Caenorhabditis elegans: one gene and its partner. The protein of the gene in region 1 interacts with the protein of each later gene in a pairwise test. Each region holds a gene or a part of one and is shown in the gene's direction. Other genes may lie near its edges. The genes, in order: nucl-1 and mut-16.

The links.
Region 2: the proteins of nucl-1 (region 1) and mut-16 interact in a two-hybrid assay, tested with the Caenorhabditis elegans proteins (one study listed by BioGRID).

What each region holds. Positions count from the first base shown.
Region 1 is NC_003282.8:8,283,913-8,299,925, reverse strand, and holds nucl-1 (Nucleolin homolog 1), read left to right. Parts: upstream 1-10,395; 5' UTR 10,396-10,407; coding exon 10,408-11,020; intron 11,021-11,066; coding exon 11,067-11,377; intron 11,378-11,477; coding exon 11,478-12,441; intron 12,442-12,485; coding exon 12,486-12,916; intron 12,917-12,977; coding exon 12,978-13,055; 3' UTR 13,056-13,339; downstream 13,340-16,013. Other genes in the region: nprl-3 (GATOR complex protein NPRL3), read right to left, coding at 158-241, 294-738, 860-1,111, 1,166-1,281, 1,607-2,045, 2,100-2,175, 2,220-2,299, 2,390-2,433; tbce-1 (Tubulin-specific chaperone E), read right to left, coding at 2,731-2,895, 3,525-3,778, 3,829-4,240, 4,323-4,806, 5,070-5,236; K07H8.2 (SLC41A/MgtE integral membrane domain-containing protein), read right to left, coding at 5,645-5,827, 5,881-6,765, 6,819-6,995, 7,047-7,161, 8,091-8,194, 8,282-8,341; N-alpha-acetyltransferase daf-31, read right to left, coding at 8,626-8,767, 9,191-9,450, 9,503-9,649; K07H8.9 (K Homology domain-containing protein), read left to right, coding at 13,610-13,663, 13,711-13,867, 13,913-14,255, 14,390-14,600. UniProt on the Caenorhabditis elegans protein: Nucleolin is the major nucleolar protein of growing eukaryotic cells. It is found associated with intranucleolar chromatin and pre-ribosomal particles. It induces chromatin decondensation by binding to histone H1.
Region 2 is NC_003279.8:10,071,755-10,087,767, forward strand, and holds mut-16 (MUTator), read left to right. Parts: upstream 1-8,404; 5' UTR 8,405-8,407; coding exon 8,408-8,647; intron 8,648-8,691; coding exon 8,692-8,814; intron 8,815-8,855; coding exon 8,856-9,035; intron 9,036-9,081; coding exon 9,082-9,206; intron 9,207-9,658; coding exon 9,659-10,050; intron 10,051-10,100; coding exon 10,101-10,223; intron 10,224-10,268; coding exon 10,269-10,381; intron 10,382-10,461; coding exon 10,462-10,891; intron 10,892-11,090; coding exon 11,091-11,399; intron 11,400-11,449; coding exon 11,450-11,510; intron 11,511-11,560; coding exon 11,561-11,633; intron 11,634-12,168; coding exon 12,169-12,287; intron 12,288-12,595; coding exon 12,596-13,319; intron 13,320-13,612; coding exon 13,613-13,765; 3' UTR 13,766-13,954; downstream 13,955-16,013. Other genes in the region: B0379.2 (RanBD1 domain-containing protein), read right to left, coding at 30-32; B0379.7 (uncharacterized protein), read right to left, coding at 871-938, 987-1,035, 1,115-1,536, 1,585-2,275; B0379.1 (uncharacterized protein), read left to right, coding at 3,255-3,272, 3,517-3,620, 3,961-4,095, 5,391-5,480, 5,536-5,637, 5,682-5,871; scpl-1 (CTD small phosphatase-like protein 1), read right to left, coding at 14,780-14,854, 15,034-15,114, 15,197-15,282, 15,635-15,734.

The sequences.
Region 1 (16,013 bases):
TTTTTGGAGAAGGTATTCAAAAATTTATAAAAATAGTAGGTTTTATGCAATAACCTCTTTCAGAAAAAAAAACAAATTTAATATAGGGGGTAAAATCATGCTTCATTTTTTGTACATAAATGAGAAAAATATAAAAACCGGAATAAAAGATCCTTGGCTACTCGGCAACAAAATCAGGACGGCGGAATGTAGCAATTACAAGCTTGAAAGACACGAAAACTCCCTCGATTTCTGTACGATCCTGGAAAATACTTAATCAGTATTAGCAGAATTTACCCTATTCAATTTCTTACCAAATTATTTTTGTATTTGATTTCTTCCAAATGATGATTTCCATCCATCATCGGAGCAACTTTTACGAAAAGGCTCAACGTTCGTTTGACACTGGCATAAGATGTAGTTTCGAGCATTTCAGCACAAATATCCGCTACAACTCCCTTCACGTCATTTGGTAATGTGCTTTCCTCGATGATTTTCGTAAACTCAGCGGGACATGGCTCTTTTGGTTCTGGTAGGATCGCGATCGAGTACGGTTTCAGAATATAGTAAAATTGATGCAACTGCATGAGCATTTGATGACGAAGCAAAGCAACGACAAGCTTCGCACGAACTCCCTGTTCGTGTAGAGGAAGGTTTTTTCGGATAAACGTATCCAGTGTTTTTGGGGGATTGAAATGAGCCAGCCCGGCAGCCAAGTGAATGGTATTGCCGAATTGAGCTGTGAACTTCTCTGCCATTCTGTAACTTGTTGAATTTCAATGTAACAATAAAATCCTTGACTAATCAAAATGTTCTATGAAAATAGTGATTTTGTTTTGAATTTATAAAATATAGTTTAAAAAACAAAAAAATTGCTCACTTATCAAGAGGTTGTGGACTTGTTGCAGATGTATAGATGTTTGTATTACATAAAGGATAAATGAGAATAGCACGTGTCCATTGCAGTAAGTGTCGAATGATCATGAAAACTTCAAAAATCGGGATTCCAGACGCCGTTGACATATCCAAAATTGAACGATCCGGACTACAATGACTGAGAAGTTTAGCAACAATCGGATTTGCATCTGGAGTTGGCCACACATCTTCGAGAAGCAAAATTCCGTGATAAGGTCTGAAAAATAGTTTTTGTAGTTCCAAAAAATGGGTTATTATAGGAAAAACTCACTTCATTTTTCTGACGATTTCATCGATTTCCTGCCTTCCTTTCGGCACTACATTTAACTTCGTCAAGGCATGTGCTTCATCACAAAATCCAAGTTCCACAAAATTTATGAGATATTTCTGGAAATGTTTTTTTAAGTCTAGATTGAATTTTATCATCCATTCGCGTAAAGTGATACTACTAGGTGCTTAAATGGTACATGATAAATTCTGTTTTTCTGAACAGGTTAGAATTTAAAATTTCAAAAGTTTTTTTTCTACATCAAATGAACAAATCTGTAAAGTCTGGCACCCTGATATCGTGACAAGACCACCATGGGAAAAATGCGTGTTCCTTTGAAATGACATGTCAAAAATATCGCGAAATTACAATAAATATTGTAATCAAAATCTGATAGAACCTTTAGTGGAAACAAATCTGAATTTAAAAGAATTTGAATCTTACATGAATATTTCCTCGATTTCGCACTTCTTCAAACATTTCAGCCAATGGTTGAACTATGAAACTAGTCTTTGCGAACTCTTCCAGAGGATGATCTTTATTAGGTTCTTCAGCATTATCTGCCCACTTGTCCTCTCGTTCCAGAAATCCAAAATAGTTTTGGAGCATGACCAAACTGACTGCAATCTTATTCGAAAGTGTTTGATATGCGGACGCTGTGTGCTGTTCACATCCGTTTTTAAGTGCAAAAACAATCGAAATCTGATAGTTGGTGGATTCACCACGTGCTTTCCATGTCTTCGGATATGCAACGAATCTTTGATTATTGATCTTCATATCGAACCCATCGTTACACGCAATTTCTTGAGTTTTGAACACATAAGCAAGCATTCCGAGAGACATGTCGAATTCTGTATCCACACGTCCGAAACCATAACTTGGACTGAAATTTTGAACGTTTGAATATTTAAATTTAAATATTCGGATTTAAACGAACTCTTTGACACTTGTAAGAACTGGCTTCACACATTGTCCTGGATTAGAGCTGGAAGGTTGTGGATCTTTCGATGGAGCTGAAAATGTTTTTTTTTTTGAGATTTTATATTGTTCAGATTACCTTTGGTAGCTGGTTTTCGATGTGGATAAATAGATACAATCTTTTCGCCGCTTTGTCCAGTGAGAAAACACATCACAGCACTGAAAATTCAAAATTATTTTTATGATAAATTGAACTTTATTCAACAAGATCACAAATAACTATTGATTTTCAGTAATTTAAAAACTCACTGAAGATGACTTTCTCTCTCGAAATCCACTTCTTTCGCTGACATTCTTCAAAAATTCAAAAAAGATTTTCTGGTATGCAATAGTAGATCACAGTACAAAAAAAACCAACAATAGTTGCGAGACCCATGCATATGACGAAATTTTCAAAAGTGAAATTTTCACTGATTGATTTTATTCCATAATCGGAATAATTGTAAATAGTATTGAAATCGATACATAACGGATAGTATTTTTAACGGACATTTTCGCTGATAAGAAATTAAGGAATTTTATGCAAGTTAAAGCTCATATATTTTGTAACAAACAATAAGTTGTGCAATAAATAATCTTCCGGTAACAATTCAATCATGTTCCACAACAAGAATATCTCGATCTTCTGAAGGTGAATAGTGTCCAAATTCTCTTAACGGATTTTCTAGTTCAATTCGGTGTTGTTTGGCTTTTTCACTCATAACGAGGTATAGACGGATTTTCGATGTATTGGGGACTTTGAAGAGACGAGCGAGCTGGAAAAAATAAAATTTTTGATGGAAGTATTTAGCCTCTATTTTTTGATGAAACTAGCCTCTATATGGGGACGCAGAAAAAAACACTTTAGACATTGATCTGAAAACACGCTCAACGGTTAATTTTAAATGCTCCGCCCACAAACTATGGGTCTCGTTAGGTATTAGGCGACAAAACCGTAAATTAAAATGTTTCAATTAGTTTTACTGATTTCGCCTATTTTTAAACATTTTTCGTCTTTTTTTGGTTCGTTTTTCATTCTTTAATGATTTTTATGTCGAAGAGATGTTTAAAAATGAAATGCTAATGATTTTTTCTATTTTGTCTCAAATTTTTATTTCATTACTTTCGGCATAAAAATCTTTGGAAACAACGGAAAACATAACAAAAAATCTTTAAAATTAGCGAAATCGGCAAAACAAACTAGAAACGTTTGATTTTACAGTTTTCTGTCAAATACCTAGCGAGACCCATTGCTCGTTACGTTTTCAATTGGAAGTGGAGCGCGTTTCTGCGTCCCCAAAATAATCGAATCAAGATAATACATTTTTAAATTAAATTCTTTGCATTTTCAAAAGTACATGCATGTCTTCTTGATTCAAATAATAATGATTGTTCATTTGCCTACCATATCTCTAATTTTCTGTATGCTCATTCCCAATGGAAGCCTTCGTGTCTCCACTCGATTTCCACATTCAATTCTAATTTTCACCACCGCAAGGCCCTTTTTTGCTGTATCAAGTGTCGGTTCTCCATGAATTTCAATCAGTCTTTTGATATCGTCTTGATGATCTTCGTTATCATTTAGACCGGCATATTTGTTCAGAAATCGAATTTCTGCAGACCTTCGTTCTACTTCTGACACATCAAACCTATTGAGATCTAGAAAAAAACATCTACTTTAAATAATTTTTAATATTTTTGAAACCAACCTATTAAAGTGCTCAACTTGGCAATTACAATCTCATAGGCATGGACACCCTTTTCAGTTGATAATTTTTTGCAATCGAACAATAACCGTTTCAAACTTTTAAGAGATCTAATGGAATTTACACTTTTCCATTCAACAATTGAATTTCTTTTTATGTTCAGATATTCGAGTTTCGGGAATTTTATCGAACCATCGAATCCGTTTAAGCTCGTAATTCCACAATTCGCCACAGAAAGTTGTGTCAAATTCGGAAAAGTTCCGTGAATGGAATCTAGTGTTTTGAATGGATTATCTTCGAGATCGAGGGATGTAAGACGAGATGAAACAGCTTCAGAAACTGAGAATCTTGTGAGATCATTACCAAACGCCACGACATCTGATGTAGAGGGGAACCGGAGAAGAATCGAGTCGATCTGAAAAATAAAAATAGCAATTCTAGACACTTTTTTTTTAATATTTCATTGGTATTCCTTTAACCTTTAATCTTTAACCTACCGAATTCTCAGATAAATTGCATTCACTAATGACCAATTTCTTACAACTATCCGAATAAACATGATCATCTCCTTCTGATTCATCATCATCTTCTTCTTCATTGAAGCATTGCATGCGATTCCTTCGTAAGTTGAGTTCTTGAATTCTAGGAAAATATTCAAGAATCTGACGAACTGTTTTCCATTTGTACAGTAGATTTCCATAAAGATTAAGTTCACGACAAAGTATAAATTGGGGAGAATCCGAGGAAGGTGGGAAGCCGACTGATCGATTATCAAGAACAATATTTATAAGTTTCTCGATATTGCTTTGTTTTGCAGCCGTTTGATCCATTCCGATCAACTCGATCTTCTTATTGGATTGCGCCAATTCAATTTCAGTTTCGACGCTCTCTTCCTCGATGTATCTGTCTTTGATTTCAAACAATAGATCAGTTGGTTTCGGTACTATTTCATGCTTCATCAATGATCCTCCATTTGGATGTCTGAAAATTTGAAAGTTCACACTTTTGTGACTAGTTTGTATTATTTAGTGACGAATTTTTAAGGGAAAGTAATTGGAGTGTTAAATACGGTAAATAATCCCCCGACACTGTATATTTAAAAGTTCATGGAGACCGCCATAAAACTATGAAAATGTGTACAGCGGAGATCACTTCCATTTTTTGTCCCAATTTGGAATTCATTTCCGACAGTTTCGAATGAGAAATGTCTATAGAATATATTTCTGATGAAAATGTCTGTTAACCTCGTCTGAAAGTATCGTTTTCCTCTCACAATTCCATCATGTTTTCCACGTGTCGGATCATCCCACTCCAATCCAACCCATCGTTGACTACCGTATCCATCGACTTCTCCAATATATCGAACTGTTGCTACTTCGAAATTTATTCGAACTCGTTGTCCTATTTCCATCTGGAAAATTGTTTTTTTTCTTGGCCCATCTTGTCAAAATTATTGGACCACTCGCGGAATAAGATGTCCAGAGATAAAAATTAATTAAATTTAAAAGTTCAAATTAACTTATTTATTCCCAAAAAATACATAGTGACTAGCGGAAAATGCAAAATGTCTATTAGATATGACCAAAAATAGCTAGAGAGAAAAATGGATCACAATGTACAGAAAATTATGCGCTTGACGGCAAATGGATATCAATCAACTCATCGGGTTTGACTAGAGTTCTGATGAAAGTGCGTTAGTTGTGAAAATGAAAAATTAGGTTAGCGAAATACTGTTTTACATGCAGATGGGGGATGAGAACCAATCTATAATAACGGGGATGCAGTTATACAATGTGGTAAAAGTTTGAACGTTTTAAAATTATGACGAAGTGAGTTCCTTTGGATCAAAATGGTCAGTAGTGAGGAATACTATGAATAGGAGTCCGGTTCCTAGGAGATCTCCAAGAGCTGTAAGATATGGAATCACAGAATTATCTGGGTCAATTTTCCATTTCCAAAGAAGAGCGACGAGAAGTTGACAAACGAATAGAAGTATGACAACCTGCAATTTTTGAAATTTTGATTATATATTTTAAATTTTCGATAAAACCTTACCTGAATGATTGCCGCAATCATATAAAGACTGGTGAAAAGTGGTCCATGGGGTGTCACATTATTCTTTGAAGTCAAAGTGAATAACTGGATAAGGAAATTGAAGCAAATATGACCAGGAACAACGAGTAACAAAAGAACTCGAGCCGATCGAGAATCCCATTCTTTTGAGAAGAATGCACGCTGAACACTGGTAAATCGACTGACAGTCCATTCATTCGGAAGAACTCCAACTGTGCCGGCTTTATGGAAATAAGTAGAGAGTCTGCTGGCTTGAACAGCAGCCAAATTCCCTCCAACACCATTCAATACTGGACCGTATGTACTCAAGCTATGATATCTTCGGACTGCGGTTTCTAATATAAATCCTCCAGCACTACTGATAAGCATTGACATGATGACTGGTGTCCATCCATTGTAGAGAGTCTCCTGTGTTCCTTCATTCTCGTTGGCAATTTTTATCCAGAAAGGAAGGAGAAGAAGGAATAATACAATCACGATAACATTGAGCCAAGATTCAGTATTATGAGCTTTGAGGAACACGGATCCGAAGAAAGCCAGTACAGTGAGTGTCGTCAGATCTCCAAGTGATGCAGCAATTGGTGTGGCCACATTATCGGGATTGATGTTGTATTTTCGAGATGTCACAATGACAACCACCATTAACAGTGATAGTACGAGGGATGCACTACATGCTGTAGCTAGGCTGCTTGCACACATCAATGCACCATGAGCCCAATCGAAATCCCCAGAAGGAATGAAAGCGAGAGCAGCGGCAAAAGCAGAAGCGAGGAAAGCGACGACAGTAGCCTGAACTTGCACAAGTGCCAAGTTGGCGATGACTACATCTTTTCGTTGTTTTGAAGAATCCATATGACCAAGGTTAGCCTGAAAAATTGATAGAAAATTATAAAATTGAATATTCTCAAGTGTAAACTCACAAGTGTTGAGAGTCGACTGGCTAGTGTCATTTCCAGATTTCCTTTAAGCCCAAGCAGTGCTGGAACTAGAATCAGAATTTCAGGGATTTCTTCGAACAAAGGCCATGTGACTACTATTGAGAGAACCAATCCAGCAAATACCATTCCAAGACCAGCGACGGCAAACGGAAAGAGAACCTGAAAACAGCAAGTTCATAATTTCTTTTGTAAAATACCTGAAAAACTTACTTGGAAAAAGAGTACATAACTCGATTCGGCAGGAATCACCGACATGTTCACAAGATCGTTTGAATGGTCGTACGTCCTCGATTTTAGTGAAGAATTTTCGTTCCTGAAACGAAAACTGGATCGGATTAATATACTGTTTGGAATATAATTTTGCAAAAAAAAATTACATAATGTAAAAGAAATGAGGAAAATTTTAAGTTCGGAATCAAAACTACGACTTTCAACTCAACTGGAAAGAAAAATGAGAAACCAAAGTATGAATGACCTCGAAAATGTAGAATCAGGTTATTTATTTGTTAGAAGTGTCGAGAATCATTGAGACATCATCTTATCACTTTTTGGCTATAGAATTTCGAAGAAATTTGTACCTACAAAGATCGTTCTAGTCAGAAATTAGAAAAAAAAACCTGTGTTAACTTTGATATATCATGAACAAGATTTAAAAAAAAACTTATATTATTGGCGAAATGTAGCTCAATTGCAGAAAAATGTAACATGAATAGTCGCTTAATTGCGTCAAACTTTTGACAATGATAATACATGAGCTCAAACTGGAATCGATGCGAAAAAGAATAACTAACCAATTTCTAATGATTTTCAGAAATTAAAAAAACAGGAAGAACATTTTTCGTTTCTTCATTTGTAAGTTATACTTGTCGTGAAATATTATAACATTCTGGGCAAAATCATAACTTTTAGTTTTGAGTCTCTATCAAAACAAATAAATTCTCTCTCCGACCTGTCAAAAAGGATCTCATTTGGTATGGAAAACTCGTGTAACACCACTCTCAATCTATTTGTTTTATGAGAGCAGAGGGAGAGGCGATGAAACGATTCGACCAAATCGGATTTGCGTTGAGGTTAAACTGTTTCTCCCTCCATAATGTGTGAGACCGAATGATTTTTGAAAACAATTCCATGTGTCTGTTCAATGTTGAAAATACGAACTCGGTAGTGAGCCAGAATTTTATTTGTTGAAATGTTAGAAAATAGTGCTACATTTTCAACAATGAGTTTTTTTTCGAGAATAACCGAATCACTTACATAACTCTGGAAAATAAACTTCCTCCTGGTGTAGCTGTTTCTGCGTCCATTGATTTACCGACATCTTCAAGTGCAATTCCCAATTGATCGAATGTTGTTAATCCCTGAAAAATTTAGATTTAAAATCTATATTTCATCTGAATCACTCAAAACTATTAAAAGGAATAACAGAGTTTTTAATAAAAACTTACTTCATGAACAGCTGATTGATAGTCCTTTTTGCCATCCCCTATTCCACCGCCACCTTTCATCTAAAACATTAACTTTAAAGGTCGAAATAAATATTTACAGATATTTGAATACAGAAATCAACTGCTTATAACATCTACAAACCATTTTAATGCTTTAAATTTATTAATGAGCTTTCAAAGGGGGATCAAAGAGATTATTCAGGGGAAAACTTAAATTTTTACCTAATCTAAAACCAGAGGAGGAAACGAGAATTGAAAGAAAAGAGATCCTCCTGAAAGGGGAGAACAGAGAAAGTATCAGAATGAACCAGTTGGAAAAGGCAAAAATAAACTTTGATAACGAATTAACTGCGATTTTTCTTTTTATCGTCAGTGGTTTTTGCAGTGGTATAGGCCTCTCGATCTGCTGGCTCGATGTTCCGTTCTTCTGCCCATTTTGCGAGATCGCGACGCATAGCGTATGCATCTTCTCCATCCGCGTAATATCTGGAATTTGTCATTTTTGTTAATAATTAGGGTTAATAAGGTTCTAAAAGTTATCATAATTTGCAAATTGAAGTATGTTTCTTCTGATTGATGCCAAAGTTTAATCACCTCGCTCGCATATTTTTGTTTATTGTTTTAAAAAAGCGCCACGTTATTAAACGTAATTATTTTTCGAAACATTTTGTCCTTTCACTGATAATCACAATAACCTTTTTCAATTTGAACTTGACTTGGAACAAAAATTAAAAATAGGTGAACCAAAAAAGAATACAAAATTATTTAATTCCATCACTTCTGTAAAAAGTATAACGTTGGAAATCGAACGGGTGATTGGGAAACGTCGATTAGAATTTTTTCAGTTGTTCATCGAGGGACGAACTAATCCGCGCCGAGAAATGAGGATTTATTCAAATTAATACTTACTTTGGCTCTGTATCCACAATTTCGAATTTCAGTGTGTTCTTGTATAGATTCAATGCGGCTCGGTTTGATACACGAACATGAAGCGATACGTATTTAGCGTTGTAGGTTTCGACCATGGCTCTTGCGGTCTGATCCATCATTTTATTAGCCAATCCCAGACGTCTGTAAGATCTTTTGACGGCCAAAGAGGTGATATGACCATGTGGCTCCTCTCCTGGGTCTTCTTCCATTTTGGCGAGAACATATCCAACAACATTTCCCTGAACAACAATAAATGTTTCAAGTCAAGATTTGCATGAGAATAAAAAATACCTTGTGATCTTCAGCAATATAAGAGAGCTGCGGCCAAGAAAGAGCGTGATAGAAGTAGTATTTCATTTGATAATTCTCTGGAAGGCACATAAGATTCGCATTTTGCATGCTCATCAAATCGTCCACGCGAGCACAACGAATGTTCATCCTGCTGCAAAGATAGAGCAGTTGAGTAAACGGCACAAAAAATTCGGAAGCGAATGCAAAAGGAGAAAAAAATAGAGATTAATGGAGGATTTGCAATATACGAGCTTGTAAAAAAGTTATAACTCGAATTCGCCGAGGGGCAATACACCGTAGAAATAGAAACGTGGATAAGGTGGCACGTGAAACTTAAGTTTTTACTAAAACAATTAGGAAAGAACTATGTATCGCAAATGACAGAGTTTTGCAAATAAAATATTTATATTAAACTATTTTGTTCAATTTTAAAAGAATATCACGCAATATAAATACGAACAAACATTCTAATTGATGAAAACGAATTCTAAAAAGTGTATAATTGACAGTTCAAACGGTTTTGATAACAAACAAAAAGAAATGTACGGAAAATCCAGTTTTTATTGATTTGTCGAATTGTTGAAAGCCGTTGCAAGCCGGCTGCCGCCAGCAAGAAAATTAACGTTTAAAGGCGCATGCATTTATTCGAGAGATCGTGGCGAGACCTGCGCCCGCTTATCGATGAATTTCGAATTTAGAAACATTCTCTTTGTGTACTTTTTCATGTTTATCACTGAAATAAATCGCTTTTCTACGTTTTTTGAAGAAATTTTCTGCTTAAAAATTACTATAATGCATAAAATATCGAAATATATCATTACAACACATTTGGTCGCTGTTATTTCCTGATTTAACTCTAATTAGGACTTCCTAACTTTATTTTATTTATTTCAGGTACAATCAAAATGGGTTTCGACTCACCAAGAGGACGCGGAGGCGGAGGCTTCCGCGGTGGTCGTGGTGGTGGCAGTGGCTTCACCCCACGTGGTGGCGGTGGTGGATTCCGAGGTGGAGATAGAGGACGTTCTCCAGGCGGATTCCGTGGAGGCGATAGAGGACGTTCATCAAGCGGATTCCGAGGAGGAGATAGAGGTCGCTCACCAGGAGGATTCCGTGGTGATCGTGAAGGTGGATTCTCCCCAAGAGGACGTGGTGGAGGCTTCCGAGGTGGTGACCGTGGTGGATTCCGAGGTGGAGATCGTGGAGGATCTCCATGGCGTGGAGGAGACCGCGGCAACTTCCGTGGAGGTGATCGTGGTGGCTCTCCATGGCGAGGAGGAGATCGTGGTGTAGCTAATCGCGGTCGAGGAGATTTCTCTGGAGGGTCCCGTGGTGGCAATAAGTTCTCCCCTAGAGGAGGCGGTCGTGGTGGCTTCACACCTCGTGGACGCGGTGGAAACGATTTCTCACCGCGCGGAGGAAGAGGAAACTTCCAATCTCGTGGGGGAGGCAGCCGAGTTGGTTTTAGCGATAAGAGAAAACAGTATGATAGTGATGGAGATGACGACGAGGAAGAGGGTATAGTGCTGATTTTAGATTTATTTGCAATTATTCAATATTCCAGAAGTCCCGAAGAAAAAGCTTGCCACCGGAACTCCGTTTGCAAAACAAACAAAACCAGTAGAAGACGATTCTGGTGAAGACGAAGAAGATGAGGAGGAGAGTGATGAGGAGCCACAACCACCAAAGAAAACTGCTAAGAGTGCCATTGCTACGGCTGCTGAAGATTCTGACGATGACGAAGAGGACGATGATGAGGAGGAGGAAGAATCTGATGATGACGCTCCGCAGGTCAAAAAGTCTGTTGCTGTTGAGGAAGATGAAGAAGATGAGGAAGACGAGGAAGAAATTGAAATGGACGAAGAAGATGAGGAGGTATGTTTTTTTTTTCTCAAAGGCTGATTTTCTTGTGAAAATTTCTTTGGAAAATGTTGCAATGTTTATTTCGAGTTTCCTTTAATATTATTGTTTTCAGGAAGAAGAGGACGAGGAGGAGACCGAGCCTGTCGCTAAAACTCCAGCTGTAAAAAGCTCTCTCAAATCTGTCGACTCCACAAAAGGAAAGCAAGTCAATTTATCTAAGGTTGCAACCCCAACTACTGTTGACAAGAAAGCACCAGCAACCCCGCATCCTGCCAAAACATCAAAAAATGCTGCCGGTGATGTTCCAAAACTGAACTTTGATGATGACAGCGACGAGGAAGATGAGGAGGATGAAGAAGTAGAGGAGGAAGACGAAGAGGAGGAGGAAGAGGAAGAAGATGTTCCAGCTAAGAAAGCTCCAGTCCTCAAGCAGTCTTTAAGTCAAATAGCTCAAGCGATTGAGGAGGACAGTGACGATGAGGATGAAGATGAAGAAGAAGAGGAGGACGAGGAAGATGAAGAAGAGGAGGAGGATACCACAAATGTCCCACTTATCAAGTCGAAAGCTGATCTTCTCAAACAGATTGCTGCAAATCGTGCTGCTGCTTCTGCTGCTCAAGATAGTGATGAAGACGAAGACGAGGAGGATGAAGAAGACGTAGAGGAAGAAGATGAAGAGGAGGAAGAGGAAGAAGATATCCCAGCTGTGAAGCCAAAAGTCACCGAAAAACAAGGAGGTGTGAAGAGAAAGCTTGATGAGCCTACCGTCGCTTCTAAACAAGTCAAGAGCGATGGTAAATCAATTATCAGTGAAGAGGAGAGAAGACGTCAAGATAGAGATTCGCGTTCTTTGTTCATCAAAGAAATTGCTAAGAAAGCAAAAGATGCTGAAATCACTGGTCTTGTAACTGGACTCGATTCTTTCCGTCGCAAAAAGAACTCGAACTTTGGATGGCTTGTATTCAACACTGTCGCAGATTGCAAGAAAGCTCACGATGTTCTTAGCAAATCTAAGATTCAAGGAAAAGCTCTTTATGTAGACTTCTGTCTCAGTGAAAGCAAAGCTCCAAAAGAACGTACGTTTTAAAATTCCTTAGCCAAGCAAAGTATAATTTTTTAGATGGAGTTCGTCCGATTAATCCTCTCCAGCTCTTCATCAACGCTCTCCCAGGAACCTGCAATAACACAGACTTGAAGAACATCTTCCGTTCATCCACAGACATTAAGATCCTTCACGCAAGTGGTCAGCCAAACTCGAAAAAGAGAGCTTTCATCACTTTTGGAACCGTAGAAGACGCTCAAGCTGCATTCGCAAAATCAAATGGATTGAAGGTTAACAATCATCTAGTCGATGTGTTCTATGCGAGACATCAAGAGACGAAGGTTGACGTGAAACCAAAGAAGGCAGCTACTCCAGCGGTTCAAAAAAAAATTGTTCCGAAAGTTGCTGCTGATTCGTCAGGTGATGACAGCGAAGAGGTGGCGTCAAGTGATGAAGGAATTCAGGAAGTTGAAGAAGAACAACCAAAACAAAAGAAGCTCGTGAAAAAGGTAATTTCTAATCCAGATTATTTTAAAACCTTTATCTTCACTTTCTACAAAAAAAATTAAGGTTGAACCGAAGACTATTCCACGTGTGCAGCAGAAAAAGCCGCAATTCAAGAAGACCGGTTTCAAGGGAAAGAAATAAATTTACCATTGTTTACCATACCACTAATCTCTTCTAGATTTATTCCATCTTGTTGATCCATCTGTTCGCTCCTTGTTAAATCCCATTTTTTTTAAATATTTTTCATTGTTGTTGGTTTTATTGTTTCTCTTGCACAAATTATCAATCCCAATTGTTGTCCCAAAACGTTTTTCATTGTTTTCCCCTGCCTCTTCACAAATCCCTTTCATTTAGGTTATTTGAGTAAGTGTGCTCGGTGTATTTGATGTGCTCGACACTATCAAAAATAAAGTCATTGAAAATATATTCAATCGTGTAATCATTTTGTCATCTGTTTTGAATTTTGGTCAGAGTTATTTTCAATTTTTAGGAACACGTTCACTTATCCTGTAAAGCACTGAATGTAATGTTGAAGGATGATAAAAGAAAGAAGATGCAGTTGCCACGTCTCTGACCTTACTCTGATTAATTTTAATCACGTCTGAATATACGCGTGACCTCCACGTCATCCCCATGATGCCACGTTGGCACGGAGCTCCGTGGCTGAAATTGTTCAGTCTTGTTCATGTTTCACCATGAACAACCATAATTGCTTTCTCACCCCTCTCCAGCAGAAATTCATGCAAATTGTTAGTTCACACCTTTATATATTTTTCAGTTATCTGTTTTTTTGCAGCTATCCGACTATGAAAGAGATCCTAAATCGATCCAAATTCATGAGGAATCCGACCAAATGGATGTAGTGATCTCTTATTTCAAGCTGCTCCTAGCTGAAAAGTCCCGTCTTCTCCAATATGGTCAGGCTAACTTCTCAGTGCATCTCATCGATGAAGGTATGAATTCCAATTTTATAGATCTAATGTTTTTATGATTTTAAGAGATCGGCCGACTCTTCATGGCTCCAATCTCAATGGCTGACATTGGAATTCTTGAAGAATGTGGACGAGAAGCACTTCGGTTTACTGATCTTGGCGCTATGTTCTCTGATTCTGATGATTCGATGCATTCGGATGAAGATGAGGTCACTTTGACTGAAAGTATTAGGATTCCAGTCGAGACTTACCCCACTTACAATTTTATTGGCCGCATCATTGGTCCTCGTGGAACGACAGCGAAGCAGCTTGAGAAAGATACCGGATGCCGAATCATGATCCGCGGAAATCATTCGAATAAGATGTACGGAAATGCATTGCACAAAACTCATGGAGATGGAAGCCAAGAGTGAGTTATACTAAAAATCATCAAAATTTTGATAGATATTACGTGACATTTTGATTTCAAATACATCATTTTATTTTCTTCAATGTATTCACGCCCCATTTAATCCGTTTAGCCCAACCCATTTTTTCTTTCAGTGCAATTGATTTGCCACTTCGCGTCATTGTCGAGACAAGCGGACCACGTCGTGAGGCAACTGCTCGGATCACTGCAGCTCTGGAAACAGTCCAAGTTCTTTTGGTTCCTCCTCCAGATGGGCGTGATGAGCTGAAGCGTAGACAACTCGTCGAGCTTGCAATCATGAACGGTACATACCGACCATCTTGCTCGAGAATTGATCATAACTAATCTTCACTATGTCCCCCCTTGTTCACCACTTCGCCTTGTTTTCCATGTTTTATACTATAAGTTTTACCTATATTCTCCCCCTTCCCGGTGCTCATCATTATCTTTGTTTCCATGTTCCCATTGTGAAATGGAATAAAACCCACTGTTTTTGGATACTCTTAAGCCTTTTTACACCCGCTTTAGGAAGATCCGCGAAAATAGAGCCGAAATGGTGAGAACGCGTTAATTATTATAGGTGACCAAGAATCCTAGGGAAAAGCTATTTTCCTAGAAGAGCGTGAGAATTTTCGAATGTATCTATATATATTTATAAATACATCACATTTCCCGGAGAAAGCAGACTTTCCAATCTACTAGCGACTGGACATATTTATTCAATGCTTGTAACTTTTTAAATAATTTTCATTACCGTCTTTTTTAAAAGACAGTCTTTAAACCCAAAAAAGATCACCCACTCTTCACCACGAGAAATAATATGATATGTTTGATGTGACGACGACAAAGACTATGAGCCAATGAGAAAACAAGACAGAATGGACGGAGAAGCTCTCATTCACTTTTCACGTACATTTTTTGTTTGAAACGAGACACGGCGGACAACTGTCCCTTGTTCTTCTCTTCTTGGATAAAAAAAACGTTTGGTTGAGTGGCTGTGACGAGTTGGAAAAAATTATTTATTTTTGGCCATTGTCATCTAGTAGAAAGCATTCTCAGGTGGTTCATTTGAGATTGTTACAAACATTAAATGGTTTGAGTTTTTTCTATTCACAATGATTAAATACTATAATTAATAAAAACGAAATAAATTCGTAGAAATTTTCCAAAAAAAGAAATTGCACTTCTCATACTGAGGTTGTCTCAATATTACAACTGTAGCATTTTAAATATCTAAAATTTTAATAAATAAACCGTATAAATTGAGACCTAAATAGCAACAACTCTTTCATTATTACACCCTCCGAATACCAATATACTCTATCTTAAAAATACTTGGTTCGATTCCCAATTCTTTACGAACACTAATCTATGTCCATCTTCACATAGTACTTCACTTCGTAATTCTCGAGGAATACTTTGTCTTTCAATTTTCGAACTCTGATGTTCCGATCAATCAATCAAAGAAAGCTCTTTGATCTAACTAAACTGACAGCTTTTTTCTATCATAATTTCTAGTGTCCTTCAACTACTGATTCCCTTTTGTCTCCCATTTCCTATCCGTTTCAAACCACTCAACAAGTTGCTCCGAGAGCTCATCTTTCAGCATTTTTCACTTGTTTTAAACAATGTCACGACTCGTTTTTCCTCTAGAAATCTATAGCAGAAACGCGAAAATTCATTGTTTATGAAGCCGAGTACTACAACTGATTCCCGGTTGTTTGGCGTTTTGGTTTTCTCGTTCTTCTTTTTTTGCTG
Region 2 (16,013 bases), on another chromosome or scaffold:
GATATTGAAGTGTTTCCTTCACAACTTACCATTTTAGAAAGTAGAACCAACTTTCACAGCTTCAAAATCAGAAAATAACGAAAATATTTCTACCAGTGGCTAAAGGTTTTCAAAAACGTTTTTTGATAATAGATTTCAAGGCCACGTTTTCATTTAATAGTGGAACAAAATTTTTTTTTTCAAACCAAATTTAAATTATATTTCCCATTTTTACCGCATCTCTTCTCGCCTTTTCTATTCGATCAAGGGATCACTGCCTAGTGTTTTCGAACAACTAGAATTCCATGTTAACTTCGTTACAAACTGCTCTCTCTTTTTCAAAAACGTTTTCCGGGGGAGAGGAGATTGAGTGCTCATTTTGAATTATTTTCTCAATTGTAACAATATTTAACTAGGTGTATCTCACTGCATTTCACGGGGTATAAGGCTGTTAACAGCATCCTCATTGCCCTCTCTATATCTATACTGGAAATCTTGTACTTGATGATAGAAACTGCTTATTTAAGCCAATTTCATCTTCATTGATTAGATTATTGAAGGGGACGCCAGAATGGGATCTAAATACATGAGAAGGACGATCTATAACATCGTAACATAGCCGTAACGGGAGGTGCTACTTCCTCTAACCCGCCCGACCTCGAAAACGTCGAAGAAAAATAAAAGTAACCATAGAATGAAAATCTTCCAACGAAATGGTAAAGTTGGTAACTTGTCGCTTCTAGAGAACATCTGTTATAAATATTTACGCAATATTTGTGAAGCTAGGTGAGCGTCTTGACCCATCGGAATTTCCTTCTATGGTTAAAATAGTATTCAAAAAAGATGCAGAACCAAATCCCTTCATTCATTTTCCAATTAAAAATCGAGAGTTCACTGTGAAGAAGATGGATCTTTCTCTACTTTCTCAGCTGACTTCTTTGCCTTCGCCTTGCTGCGCTCTGAAAGAATCACATTTGAATCTAGAAACAATTATTAAAACAACTCACTCTTCTTCTTGCGATTCTTCTTCGATTTCTTCGAGTTAACACTGCTCGCCTAAATTTTTCAAATTATTCAGAAAATCACGTGTTTTGTGGGACATTTAGCTGATTCTTGAGAATCATGAGTTACTGACAGTCGATCCGCTCTTCTGTTCTCCACCAAGTTCAATTGCAGTCTTCACGTCAGATTCTGGTGCATCAGATTTTGCCTCGATTGCAGACTTAACATCACTCTCAAAAGCATCGTTCTTTGCTTCGGCGGCAGTCTTGACTCCTGATTCAGGAACATCATTCTTTACCTCTGCAGCAGTCTTCACACCAGATTCTGGAATGTCGTTTTTGGCTTCAGAAGCGGTTTTGACATCAGGTTCTGGAGTATCTTGAACTGGAGATTGGATTGACATGGCAGTGTTCACATTTGATTCAGGAGCATCGTTACGAAGTTCGTTGGCAGTTTGAACTCCAGTTTCCGGTTGATTTGGAGTTGGAGGCTCAGAAGTAGATGTGCTCTTTCCCTTGCTTTTCTTATTTTTCTTGTTTTTGCGACTGTTTGATTCTGAAATTTTGAATATTCGGATAGTATTCAAACTTTTATCAAACTCACTCTTCTTATCCTTCGACTTCTTGTTCTTCTTCTTTTTAATTTTCTTCGATTTCTTCGATTCAGTAGAAGCAGGAGCAGAAGATGATTGATCAGATGAAGCAGGTCCAGAATCCACAGCCAATCTCTCCGATTTTCCACCGACACCATTGGAAGTATTATCCTTTGGGCCCAAAATAACCGAGTTCCCACCTCCAGAAGCATTCTCAGTTGGAGCCATCCTCTCGGATTTCCCACCAATTCCTCCATAAACATTGTCCTTCGGCGCCAACAATACAGAGTCTCTACCAATTGGTTTAATTGGAGAGCTCAAAGGATCAACTGGAGTTGGCTGTTCTGCAGTGACTGGAGTTGGCTCGGGGATTGGAGCAGGAGCACCTTGAGTGATTTCTTGAACTGGAGCGGACACTTGTGTTGGTTGCTGAGGGACTTCAGGAGTTGGTTCCGGGCATTGAACTGGAGCAGGAGCAGATTCCGGAGCAGGTGCAGGGGTCGGTTGTTCGAGTTGTTGAGGTGGAGCAGCTGCAGGCTGTTCAGTAACAGGCACAGTCTTCGGAGATGATCTCGAGCTTTTTGTGGAACGAGTGCTTCTTGAACTTCTTTGAGATGTCGTTGCATTCTTGCCATTCTCACTGTTCTTGAAGTAGAAGTAGGCCAGAACAGCGACAATTGCCAGTAGGACGTACACGATCATTGGTTTTGGTGCTGACTTTTTGTTGATTCCAATCTGAAACAATATTATTTTTGTTTCACAGTAATAAAAACTGGCGACGTTTTGGGGCAACCTCTTACCAAACGTTGGAAACTTTCTGCCAACAATTTTGAGTTTTATTAAAATCCCCTCAAGTTGGAAAGTTGAAAACATTTGGTAGAAAGTTTTCTCCCAAATGCAGAAAAAGTTGAGAGTGAATCTTTCTAGATGTGCAACTTCAGTGGCCGAAGAGGCTAGCAACCCCACTCTACTACTTCAAAAGCAATCATCTGAAATTTAAAACTCACCAGTCAATGTGTCACGTGTCTGAAGATGAAAAGGGAAGAAGTCGTCCTTCGTAAATTCGAAACTGAATTTATCGACAAGTTTGTGATTGTTTTTTCTTTTCTTATCTAACGTAGAATCTTCACGGCTTTATTTTTCCAATTCGAAATGTCATAATTTTTTCTTTTTCCTAATTTTTATGTGAACATATTTCATAAGATATTTGCACTTGCACCTACAACTATCCTCCGTGAATTAACTCAATTACCATGTTTAATATAAGAAATACAGTAATTTGTTTTCTGGCATTTTTCCTTATATTTTTCAAGTTATCGCAGAAAGTATTGCAGTTTCTATCGAAGTTTTGGCTTCAGAATATATTTTTGTGTTTCTTTTTTGTGTGCTTTTGTCTCCTCGTGTTCTCACGATCATCTCGAAATCTGCCAAAACTCCTGTGGCAACATATCTCTCCACTGATCCTCCAAGTGGTTTTCATTAATCACTGACTACTTCTCTTCTCAACCTGTCTAACACATCTCTCGGTTGCCCTCAAAATCTCGATTCTTCTGATCTTCCGCCCCCATCTGACATCAGCTGTTTGTTGTCTTCTCTCTCTCAAAACTCCGCCTAGTTTTTCTCTTCTTGCTCAAACTCTTTACTTCAGTCTCTTCTTCTTTTCCATCGAGACAACAACAACATGGGCGCCTTCGATCGCGTGAGTTTTCATCTTCGAAAATGTTATTATTTTGACATTATCTAGTTCCTAGGGGTGTCAGTGAAAAATATAAATTATTGAGGAACTTTTATTTTTTAAAAATTTCGAACGGTTTTCTGCAAAAAATAAAATCAACTATAAGAAGTATTTATATATGTCAACGCCTAGACTAAAGCTAAAGATCGAGTCTAAGCCTAATCCAGAGCCAAAACCTTAGCTAAATCCTAAAAATCGATGTGTTCAGGTGAAAGCTCAAGTTGCATCCGACTCAAAATGGACATCAGCTCCTTACAAGGGATTTGTGGCCGGAAGCCCATCAAACACGTATATTGATATTGTTTCCACTGCGTGAGTTTTCAACATGCAACCTATCCTGAAGCTTTTTAAAATTAATTGTAAGATAATCAAATTGTCATGTTTCACTCTTTGAATTCTCAGCAAATTTCAAAGTATTACGTTGATTTATTGTATCAATTTGTTTGTTGGAGATGATACTGCTGTTCGCAACCGCAACGAGACCAACTTCGTCTCTAGCACAGCGTGGACCCAAAATTTCACGAAACAAATGAAACGGTTTTCTACAACGTAGAAACGCCAAAACGCCAAAAACGCCAAGAATGTCTCTCTCAAAAAATAAAATTGCTAATTGACTTACAGTCATCAGCTGAAAAGTCCGAAAATATTTCAGCTTTGAAGACGCCACTAACACGATGAATTTTGCTCGTCACTCGAAATACGATGAAATGTATTCTCCTTATCTCGGATCATTCCGCGAACGACACAATTATACTTCAATTGCTCCAAGCTTGTGTATTAACAAAACGTTAGTTTTTATTTGGTGATACATGTGTACTCTTTCCGTATTAAAGTTCTCTCTCATTTTTTATCAGTTTTAGATTGAGTAAACTCGTGCGAAAGTTATATTACTCGGCGTTTGCCGCCAGCTTCCTACCCAAGGCTTCGCAACTTCTTACCCAAGGCTTGCCCAAAAAATAAAAACATTTATAAGGAGCTGCCAAGACTTGGGTAAACCTTGGGCAAGAGTTGGACGCCGTCTCAAAAATGAAAAAAGTCGTCGACTGCCTCGTCGTCCCGAGGCGTCGCCCAAGTCTTACCCAAGTCTTACCCAAGTTTTGCCTATTTCTTACCCAATTTATACCTGTGTGTTGAACTTTGATCTCATTTCCCGTTGTGCCGAAGTCTTACCTGCTGAGCCATGATGGTCGCGCGAAAAGATCCACACTAGTAATTATATATCGTACTCATATTCTGATAGATATTTTTGAGGAAGTACCAGACATATCTGATTGATACGGTATTCTCACATACCTTATTTCATTTGTTTTCAAGTTTGTTTTCAATACCTAATGATTCTAAGTTCAGAATTTACAGAATTACTGTAATTCATGTTTGTTTCATGTCTCTCAATTTTATAAAAGTTTACATTTCAAAAGAACAGTTCAGTCTTAGAAAAATTCAAAATTTGATGCATAGGATTGACTGACTATTATTTGACTATTGGACTGACTAGGAGAAGAATCATCCTGAAGATAACTTTTCTTTTTATTTTTAGAAAAATTATATGGTTTATTAGACAAAATGGCAATAAAAATCAGACTTTGTTCGTACATTTTTTTAAACAATGTTAGCCACCAGAGAAAAATATTTAGAATTTGCCTTTGAAGGGACAAGTTTTCCTGTGAATTCTTTCAATTACATTGAAATTCCTCTATTTTAAATACAAATTAATCAAAAGACAAAGTGTCGATTTACGCTAAACATTGCGCATGCGGGATTTCGGAATCTTGTTCGTTCTTTACATCTGCAAACTTGGGTAAGAAGTTGGCAAAACTTGGCTAAGACTTGGGCAGAACTCGGGCGAGGGAGTTTACACTAGAATTGTTGAAGTTGGGTAAGACTTGGGCATACTCTGGGTTAGAAGTTGGCAAGAGTTGGGTAAGAAGCTGAAAAGGCCCAAACTTGGGGAAGAAGCTGTCGGGAATTGCCGAGTAGTCTTGCACCCTTACGGGTCAATTGAAAATTAGTCTTGCAAATAAAACTAATAGAGGAAATACGGTAATAACTTTCAGACACCTGAATTTGTTGAAATGTTTTCAGAAACCGTGCCATCGAGTATGACCTGGCACCACACAAGGCTTACAATCCACGACAATCCGAATGGCTTCTTGAAAAAGACAAGAAATATAGGTAAAACTTTTGGTGTTTTAGAACCAACTGGAAACCAAACTTGTCATTTTTATAGAGTTCGTGGTGCTCGTAATTTAATTTACACAAAAAGCGCATCGGATATCAGTTTGCCTCCACTGACACGTCGCACATTCACAGTTCCAACAGATACTCTTCGGTTCGTCTAGGCAATTTGCTTTCCTTGCTAACCTGTTATTTCAGTCATCAGAATCAATTTCTCTACTGGAATGGTCGTGCACTTGGTCTTGACTATGTTGCTCCATTCCTTCGTCGTGAAGATTATTCTCGTCACGAGGATCGCCGTTATCAGAGAATTTACTGGTCTCCACATTTCATTGATTTGCTTCCATCTTGCCGTCATTCTGCACATCTTATGCTTTCCGCTTATTAAATCACTTCCAGATGTTCTTTTTCCTTTTTCTGTGTTTTTCTGCCGTCGACTTCCTATGTTTCTTTCCGTGTTCTCAACAGGGGTGTAATAAGCTTCAAGTGTCTAATAAAACGATTCGAAACAGATTTCCTTTGCATATTTTATTTGTCTGTCACAAAAAAAACATGAATGAAAAAAAAAACAAAAAAGACCCAAACATGCAATAAGAGGAGGTAATTAACGGAGGAGTAGAATTTGTGGTTGTTACACTCAAATGTATTGAAACTTTCCCGAAAAAACCAAATTTCATATACTGAGATATCTCATAAAAATTTAATGTAAATTATCACTTTTCCAAATGACGAGTTCGACACAAAATTCGATGAATACCAAGGTTGCAAGTTGTCCATCATTTCTCTCAATATCATATCCATCTGTACAATCGAGTTCTTCCATTTTGTATCTGAATATTATTTTTCGATGTTTACAAATTTTTGGATTTCGTATTTGGGTAATTTTTATAGCTAACCAGCCGCAACCCTAAAATACGACTATAATACCCCGACGGCGCCAGATCCGCTTCGTACATTTAACGCTAATTCTCTTACTTCGTCTTTAACTAGGAAATTACAAGAATATACGATGAATGTACGAATGGGGGAGATTGAAAATCTTCGCAAAGTCTGTGAATGTGCTATGAAGCGATTTGCCGATAGCAAGTTAGAAGCTTTCTTCTGGATAAGAAGAAACCTCTGCTCAACTGTTATTGGACGATCTCAACATAGTCACAGATTGTATTGTTAGAATAAAAAATAAAATACTGTTAACATTGCATGACTGATCGGTTTTTTCGACGTGGAATCAGTTCTAAGCTGTTCGCTCACAAATCCCTGATACAAATTCCAATCATTTTGAAATAAAAATGCTTTAAAATTTCACTGTTCATTCCTAGATTGCAAACTTTTGGGTGACGTAGGTTCTTTGGAGACAAAGTGTCCAAAGTGACAAAGGATCCAGTAGACAAAATGGGGTGTATCTTGGGGCCAAGGATCAATGGTACCAACCTTTTTTCAACTAGTTTCTTATATGTATTTTTCAGCTAATTTTTGTTTATATTTCACTGGAAAAAGTTTTTTTAATGCACTTTCCATAGGATTTTCGGTCATAATTCGCTCAGATAAACTTGTAAATGTCCTTTCCGATCGATTTATTCACTCGATTAGTCGTTGAATGTATATGGTGAGTGAGATTATGCGATGCTCAAAATGAATTTTCAATTTTCCCGCCGATACAGAAACTAATTTTGATTAAGGAACATTGTGGTGAGTGCGCGTCTGGTCCCGACGCGAAATTAATTTTAATGCTTTGAAACTTTTTTCTAATATTTTCGTTAAAAATTAAGGTTTATAGCCTTCAAAAATTATATATGGTCTTCAATAATTTTTTATTAAAGCTTTCAAATATTTAAATCTGAAATCTTAACCAAATTTTAAAACTACATACGATTTAATTTGAAATCATACACGTGAAATGAGTGTGACCGTAGTAGAAGCGCCGCTTTGTTTGAGTTGTATTTGAAAAATGTATTTTCTCCTTTTCAACTTTTAAAACTGCGATTTACTTCACCATATTCGTTATTTCTTTTCGTTTTCAAAGTAATTATTGTTTAGCTATTCAAAAAATTACTAAAAAGCGATAAAATTCGAAACAGAAGGTGTTAATTAACATGTTAATTGATCCTTTTGTGGCCTAAAAATAAACTATTTACCGATACACTTTCATAATAGTTCTTTCGGAAAATTAAAGTACTTTTTTGTCGATCGGTTTGAGAAAATGTGCCGGTGAATTTGATTTTATATATATATTTTTCAATTTTAAAAGCCAGTTTATCGTATACAAACAAATTTCTGTTATGTTTTAATGAAGCGACTGTTCATTAGTTTAAAAAACATGCCGATTTAGATGATTTTTTAGTTTCAAAACGTTTTCTTCAATTCTAATACTTGTTTTCGATAGAAATTCAACTTTTCCTGAACGCAATGCAATCGCGCTCTATCGACGTTTCAATGAATAACCGTCAATCATCTGCTTGCCGATCGAATATTTAGAACGCGTTTTATTGCTCCTTAACATTTTTTATCATTATTTCAATTGAAAAAACCATTTAAACAGTTTTCCAATCAGTTTGTTTCAAAATTGCCTTCCAGATCGAATTTCATTTAAATCTCAAGCACTGGAAATTGAAGAACAAGCTTCCGAATTCAAAAACAAAACAAAATATTAACTGTTAAAAATCTTTATAATCTATGATTATTGTTTATTGCAGACTTATCGGCTCAAAATGAAATGAATTAACGCAACAGTGCACGACTTGAAGTTTTAGCTATTATATATATTATTGAGAGACCTTATTACAAATTTCGCTTGTTTGTCCCAGAATCGTAATACTTCCTGGAATAGAAAGTTTTCTTTAATGCCTCTAGCAAATTATCGTTTACTTCTCATTTATTGCCGTTCAAACGTTTCAACCCACTCAAATACTCGATATTTGCAGAAAATGTCCGAAAGTGATGATGATTATCCGGAATTAGACATCTCCGATCAATATATCGATCCATTGGGGATCGTTGTTGGTCCACCACCCGCCTCGTATACGGAAACTGATCGTGAAGAAACTCCCATGCAAAATCGAACTGAAGATGACACTAATAGCTATGGAAATTCATCGGGTGAACATGACTACGATAGTTATTTGGATTCAGGAGACGATGACTTTGACGTGGATGCCTACTATGCGGTAAGATTCGTGTTCGTATATTTCAATTTTATTTTCTGATTCAGAATGACAATATGGATGAACCTCCACCAGAAACGATACCGGACAATCTTATACAAAACGTCATCGGAAGAAATGATAACGCCGATTATGATTTCAGCGATGCAAGTAATCCAGAAATCATGAAGGTATTTAAATACTTATATGATCTCGTGACCTAATGGTTTAGCGTGATCTTCAGCTGTTCCTGAGCTCTTCATTGCTGAGCAATCCATTGAAATTCCGTTCTGGATACTCCTCGGATGAATTGGATGATTGTTTGAAATCTTGTATGGGATACAGTCTTCAAGTAACAGCTGTTTTATTGCTTCCTCCAGAAATTATTTCTCAGCTTCCAAACGATTCCAAGGTAAATTACAATGTGCATAGGGAGACTATAACTTAATTGTTTTCAGACCGAACACGCCCATGCACTTGTACGAGGAGGTTGGCTGCAGTCCAAAGAGGGCGCATTCTTTCCAGTCATTTCCGATTCAGAACGTGAGACTGTTGTTTCGTTGATGAATGGATCCGAAGAACAGTGCGTTTTTTTTGTCACGAAAAGCTCTGAACGACTCGAAATAAGGCACCGGCGATCAGAGAGACGCTATTACAGGCTTTTTTTGTGGAAATTTTTATGTGAATTATTGTTAAAAACAGCAATTAATTTGTTTTTTGCACTGAAACCCCGTCATAATTGCTCTCGTAAATCGATATAATTCCCTATGTTCATGGAATAATCGAATTTGAATTATTTTATTCTTGTTTTGAACATATTTTTTCAAAATCAATAGCGAAATTGCTCAAATTCCATTTTTTTTAATCGAATGACTATTGTGCCGATTCACGAGAGAAATTAAGAAAATATTTCAGTACAAAAAAAAAAAATATATAAGTTAAATATTTCTGAGCTCTCCTTGCCAAATCACCACAAAAAAAACACAGTCTCTTCGATCGGTGGTGTTTCCTCGAAATGGCGTATAAAATTTGCAGGCACAAACGCCAGGAAAGGAAGAAAAAGGAAGCAGATACATTTGAATCCGAAGAGAAGGAAATTCGTACTCTACTCACATTCAACATGATTGCGGAATTGTTAATGGCTGTCAGAAATGAATATAGCATTCGTTCAGTTAAATATCAAATTCTTTCAACTGCTTATACAAATATGGTTACTGGTGCGGCACATGCGAATATTTTTCGAAAATATAAGGATATTCTTCAACTCGATCCAGAAAAACTGTGGAATAATGATTGGTTCAAAGAGTATACAAATCGAGGAACACTGAAGAAGTTTCTAACAACTGCAAGATTTTCTGAAATTGTGGTTTCACAAGCCAACGGCAAAACTGTAGAACTCTATTTTAGAGCTGACGATGAAGGAAACCGTGAGTAACTAAAAATATTTTCGATTTATTTTCAACGTTTGTTCATTCAGGACCAGTTGTTCTTTTCACTGATGAACATATTGCGGATGTTAGGAACAAATGGAAAACCGGCAATCAGAGAAATCAGAACTACGGAAGCCAAGGCAATTATAGGGCCGGTGGACAGAGATCAGGTACATTGCATTTTTTGTGATTATCTAAAAATCTTTCTTTTCTAGATGATCGTCGTGGTCCACAACAACGCAGAAATGTAATTGTACCAGATCCGAATTATCAACCATCGACTTTTGCTGGGGGCATTTCTAACAATGCAGATGATGATGGATCGTTGGTGAGTGCGATAAAAAAAACATTCATTATTCACAAAATTCTTTGTGTGCAATATAGAAATGAAATTTATGTGATTTTCAGCAACCAACAACTTCATCGCACTTTAATCGAAATACTGATCGGTCAACATCTCGTCCTCCACGTGCACCCACTTCTCCAGTCAATCGTGTGATGGAAACAGATCCACTAATGGGCCAAGGCACTTCGTCCGGAGCCCCTCAACGATCCGCGATTCCGAATCCATTTGGTGGAGCACCAGCTCTTAGCAGAAGCACAATCACCAATGGTAACCGTGGTCCTTCATATGGAGATCGTGGTGAGCGTGTTCAAGATGTCGGTGATACGACATCAGATAGTGAAATCACTTCTGAAGGATCCTACTCTGATGAAGATCCCGAGCAAAAGGAGATTAAGCGTCAAAGAAGAAAGGATAAACTTAAAAAGAAACAGGAAAGAGAACTAAGAAGTCGTGAGAAGCACACGAAGTCTAAGCAGCAACCTCCTTCGAAAAGTACGAATTTTATCATTTCCAAAGCGGAGTTTAGTGAATGGGGATGATGCTTCGTTTTTTTTCATTTTTCTATTGTGGTATTTCTGAACTTGAGACTATTTTAAATTTTTGAACTTTCAAACACCAACGATATTCCGCCTTACAAAAATTTTCCAAAATCACCAATTTGAACTATTAAATTTATGAAAATCTATTTCAGTTGAGACTCGATTCAATACGTACAAGAAAAAATCAGAATCATCTGCTACTGACACTTCCAATACACCTCCAGTTGACACTGTGAATGTAGCTCTCCCGACTCCAGTAGTAGAATCGTCTTCTACGACCGCAGCACCGTCAATCCCTGTTTCGACACGTCCTGAAGTCGTCGTTCCACCTGAGAATCCAGCTCCACTCAGAGAAGTCGGAAATTTCTACTCTAAATCGAATCACGACGAGGATAGACGCAATGTTCAACTTCCTTTCACACCAGCGGATACGCACAAACCGATTAAAGTTGCGCCAAAAGGTATTTTAAGCAGTTTAGGACTCGTCTTAATAGCCTAAAATCAGTTTCAGAGCCTGTACGGAATCCGCTTTTGAAAGAACGACCTTCAGCCAATGGTTTCATCAACAGAAGGTTCCTAGCTTTAAAATTTAATCTTTCAATTACCAAAAAAATTATTGCAGACTGCCATCACATCCAGCACCACCACCAGTCAACCAAAGTCAACCAGCCAATCAACCAATGCAAACAGCTGTGGTAATTTCATTTTTAATAATATTTTAAGTCTAAACATTCTATCCACACTTACGTTAGAAAAAATTGTTAGAAAAATCTAATGCCTCCGTGCATTTCTGTACCACTGAAATTTCATAGTGATCCAATTTTAATGACCGTAGTCTTGAGAACTTTGACTGTGTATCTACAACAAATATTTGAAAATTTGCGAAAAATTGTTCACATGATTACATTTTCGATCTATTTTTGCTGTTTTCGAAATAGTTTTGCTTCACAGTTCGGATAAAGTTGAGAGAAATGTGAAATTATAATTTATTGAGTTCTCTGGAAGACAGAAAAAATTAACAGAAAAACTGAAAGAAAACAGTATTGTTCACGTGAACAAGAATTGGGACATTCTTTTAAAAGACTGAAGATCTTTTCCATTAATTTATTGTCCAACACAGTCAGAAACTTTTCGAAGTGATGCGTTGGGTATTTGAACCATATTTCTTTAACCATGTTCGTTTTTTTCTCAAATCCTACAAGTTTGAAGTCATAATCATTATCTTTTCAGTATCAAAACTCTCATCCGGGTGCACCATATATCCCTCAACAGCCAACATATCAGCCACAGCTTCCTGTACAACAACCTCAACCACATCAATATGCGCCTCAACCAATACATCATCAACAGTAAGGATTATACTTAAAAATTCATTCCAAAAGTTAAATAAAGAACGCTCAAATGGACCCAAATCGAATTTTTTGATAAGATTTCGCAAAAATTTCCGAAATAAAAAAACTCTTTTTCGGTTAATAAATTCATAAATTTGACAATATTTTCAAGAAATTTGATATTATTTGACCATCTTTAAAAGTAATGTAAAACAATTCGCGTAATAATTGTAGTCTTGGGGTTTTCATGCAAGCAAAAGACATATCCTTTTTTGCTAAAATTGAGAAAAAAAAACAGAAAAATTCACAAAACTAACATTTTTCAGGCCAATCCACCAACCGATGCACGGCCAACAGTATCCGCCAGTTAATCAGCAGCAACCAATCTATCAACAACCGGCACCACAGTATCCACCATACAATTCAATTCAGAACAACCCTCAACATGGTCCTTCTCCATTTAATTATTCTCAAGTGCCACAACCTGCTTATAATCACGTTGGCCAACAACCATCACATATGAGCAATCAACCTCATATCAATCAAAATGGATATCAAAATTCGTACAATCCGAATCAGGGTCCGACTTCTTCCGATCCAAATTATGGATGTAATCCACAATTCAATCATTATGGCAGTAGATCAGTTTATCATGAAGATCATTCATCACAAAGAAGAAGATCACCTGATCAGTTTCCACCAAATCCTCCAGAATACGATCCACACGGAAACTTCAAACTTGCTGATTATGAAAGAGATCGAATGACAGTCGGATACAGTCAAAATCCACATCAATTTGACCATCACGGAAGTCATATGCCTCATCAGTCACAACCACAAGGATATGACAATTTTAACGGAAATTCTGCGCCGTACTTTAATAAAAACGGAGGACAATCAAACCATCAACCGGAAGCTCAAAGATCTTTTAGTGTTCTCTCTTCGAATCGTCAGCCATCGAACAGGGAATTAATATTTCAAGATGGAATTGAGAAGGAATTGAGAGATATAATTCTCCGTTATCGAAGCATGAACTTGACAGTATTGACAGTAAGTAGTAATTTTCGTTGAAAGTTTCAATTTGTTCTACGATGTGATATTAGTAATTATATAAAAAGTATTACGAGAAAATTTGATTGACACATACGAAAAAAATCTTTAAAAATAAAGAGTATTTTCAAATCATCTCTACACTATATTTTCGTATAATTAAAACAAGCTTTTTACTTCGAAAAATGCCATGTTTTTTCTTTCAAAAAGACTTCTTGATTAGAGTAACTGTACCAATTTTATGTTAAGTTTTTTTAATGAAAAGGTTTTCGTTAAAAGTGAATTATTTTCAGGTACAAGAACTGAGAACAGAAGTGAGCAGACGTCCTGCTATTCCTCGGTACATTGATATTGTCCAATATATTAGAGATTCTTCATCGGTTGCTATAGTGGAAAGAGGTGACATTGAGCCGTATGTCGTTTTGAAAGATGATATCCGAAACTAAGAATTTACTTGTTCCTATTACTGTTCCATTTTTATTTGTATTCACCCACTCGTCTCAATTTTTTCATTTTTTCTAAACCCATGTTTTTTTTTTTTAATTTTCGTTCTTATTGACTGCCTACTGATTATTACCTGTTTTTTCATACTTGAATCGCCAAACTTTCCTAATTAATATTTTTACGAGTCCAAATTTGTGTTTTAATATTTATAAAAAGTAGAAGAACCGGGAGTCAACTGATAATAATAATACTGCACGAATATTGGTGGTGACGGTGACAATTCAAAACAGGGATACGTGTCTCTGGGAAAGGGATGAAGGGAAAACTCGGGTTGAAAATTGGAACGAAGGCACTGGATGGAGGATGAGGGATGCACGTTTTCAGTATTTGGGGGTGATTGCTTCAGAATTGGCAACTTTTTGAATCTAATTACTGTTTTCCTTTTCTTTGGAATTTCAGAAATATTAGATTCAAAAAGAGAAAATAGCTCGTATTTACAGCATAATTATACTAAAACGAATGACAAAGTGCAACTACGTAGGGGAAAAATACAAGAAAACACAAAATGACAAATTTTGCAAATTTTGGTGAAACTATTTTGGAGAAAAATGTTGTCCAAAAAAGGATACACACTACGACGGTTTTGAAACTAAAATTTTTCTTTTTTGGAAACACTAATAAGGGGCAATAATTTGATATTAAAAGATCACAATTCGGATGAGAATGATGATGATGCGATGGGGGGGGGGGGGGGGGGGACTGTGGAGAATTTAACTGGTAAAAAAGGAAAACAAAGAAGGGCAAGTGGGACAGAAAAAATCCAATTAGAAATCTGAGAGAAAATGGGAAGAGAGTGGGGAATCCTGAGTGGATATGTATTTTCATTCGAATTTATTTCGGAAAGATTTGGATTTTTATTTGGGAAAAGGCAATTATAGTACTTTTGTGATTTGAGCTACGACGACGTCTCGAACAAGAAAACAGCTACTTTGTGAATTTATGATATGACGTATTAATTAGCAAGAGCAGTGATTCAGAAGCTCGGATTGTGGTCCTTCTTCTGGTCGATACAGATCATAGATGCTTGAGAACTGAAAAATGTTATTTTTACTTTTAAATTAGGCGATTTTGAAAGAGTTTTTCAAAATAATTTTGAATTTCCAGTATATTCAGTATTCAGTCACTTTTTCTTAACAAAAACTTGCCCAATTAATTCTCATAGAAAATTTTGGCCAATAAATAGTTTTCAAAAAAAAAATTAAATCCAAACCCCGTTTAAGTGCTCCAAAGATGGAAGAATATCCAAAAGCTCTGTATCTGAAGGATCATCAAACCACGTCGTCACTGGTACCTGAAATAAAATAAAATTTTGAATTATAGTTGAAGTTATCGTGGAAAAAAATTGGAAAAATGAAAAACTACAGTATCCTTACCGCATTTTCAGGATGGAATGCATAACTGGCTGGTGAATTGTCGATAATCAAAGTTTGATTCAGATTTCTTCCCAGTCGACTCAAATCTACAAAATGGGGGTTTAAAAAGAAATTTGTAAAATATTAATTTTTCAACAAAAAATACGCTCTGCAATTTTTAAAAATAGAAAATATTAATACAATATTTTTCGATTTTCTCCGGAAAATATGAAGAAAAGTGCAAGTTTTTCATTTTTCGATAATCAATTTCTCCAAAAATCTCGGAAAAAAATATGAAGGAATCTGAGATATTCGATTTTCTCTGGAAAAATACAGAAAAATCGGATTTTTCTTCGATTTTATTTTCATTTTTTGTTTTTAGAAAATCATGAAAAATAGACTTTTCCCCGAAAAAATAAAGAAAAATCGAAAATTTTCCAAAAAACTAAAAACCATTACCTTTTACATAATTACCCTTATGGAATACACACGCTTCACGGAAAAGTCGTCCTCTGAATACCCGTTTCTTGTCCAATAAATCAGCCACAGGATCAGCGTACTGAAAATTAATATTTGAGTTTCAGAATTTTTTCATTGAAAAAAAATCGATCGACTACCGTAGTAAGAAAATTTTGTAAGAAAAGTCTGAAAATTGACAGTTTTACGTAATTTTAAAGTTTCTGATGGCAAAAACGAGAAAATTGGAATTGAGTTAGATATAAACCGTTTTTTTTTTAATTTTAAAGTAAAAATATGTTTATAAGTGTTCAAAAATGACAATCGATTTTTATTGTGCCACATGCGTATTTAGGATTACTGTACCTTAGGGGTGGCGATA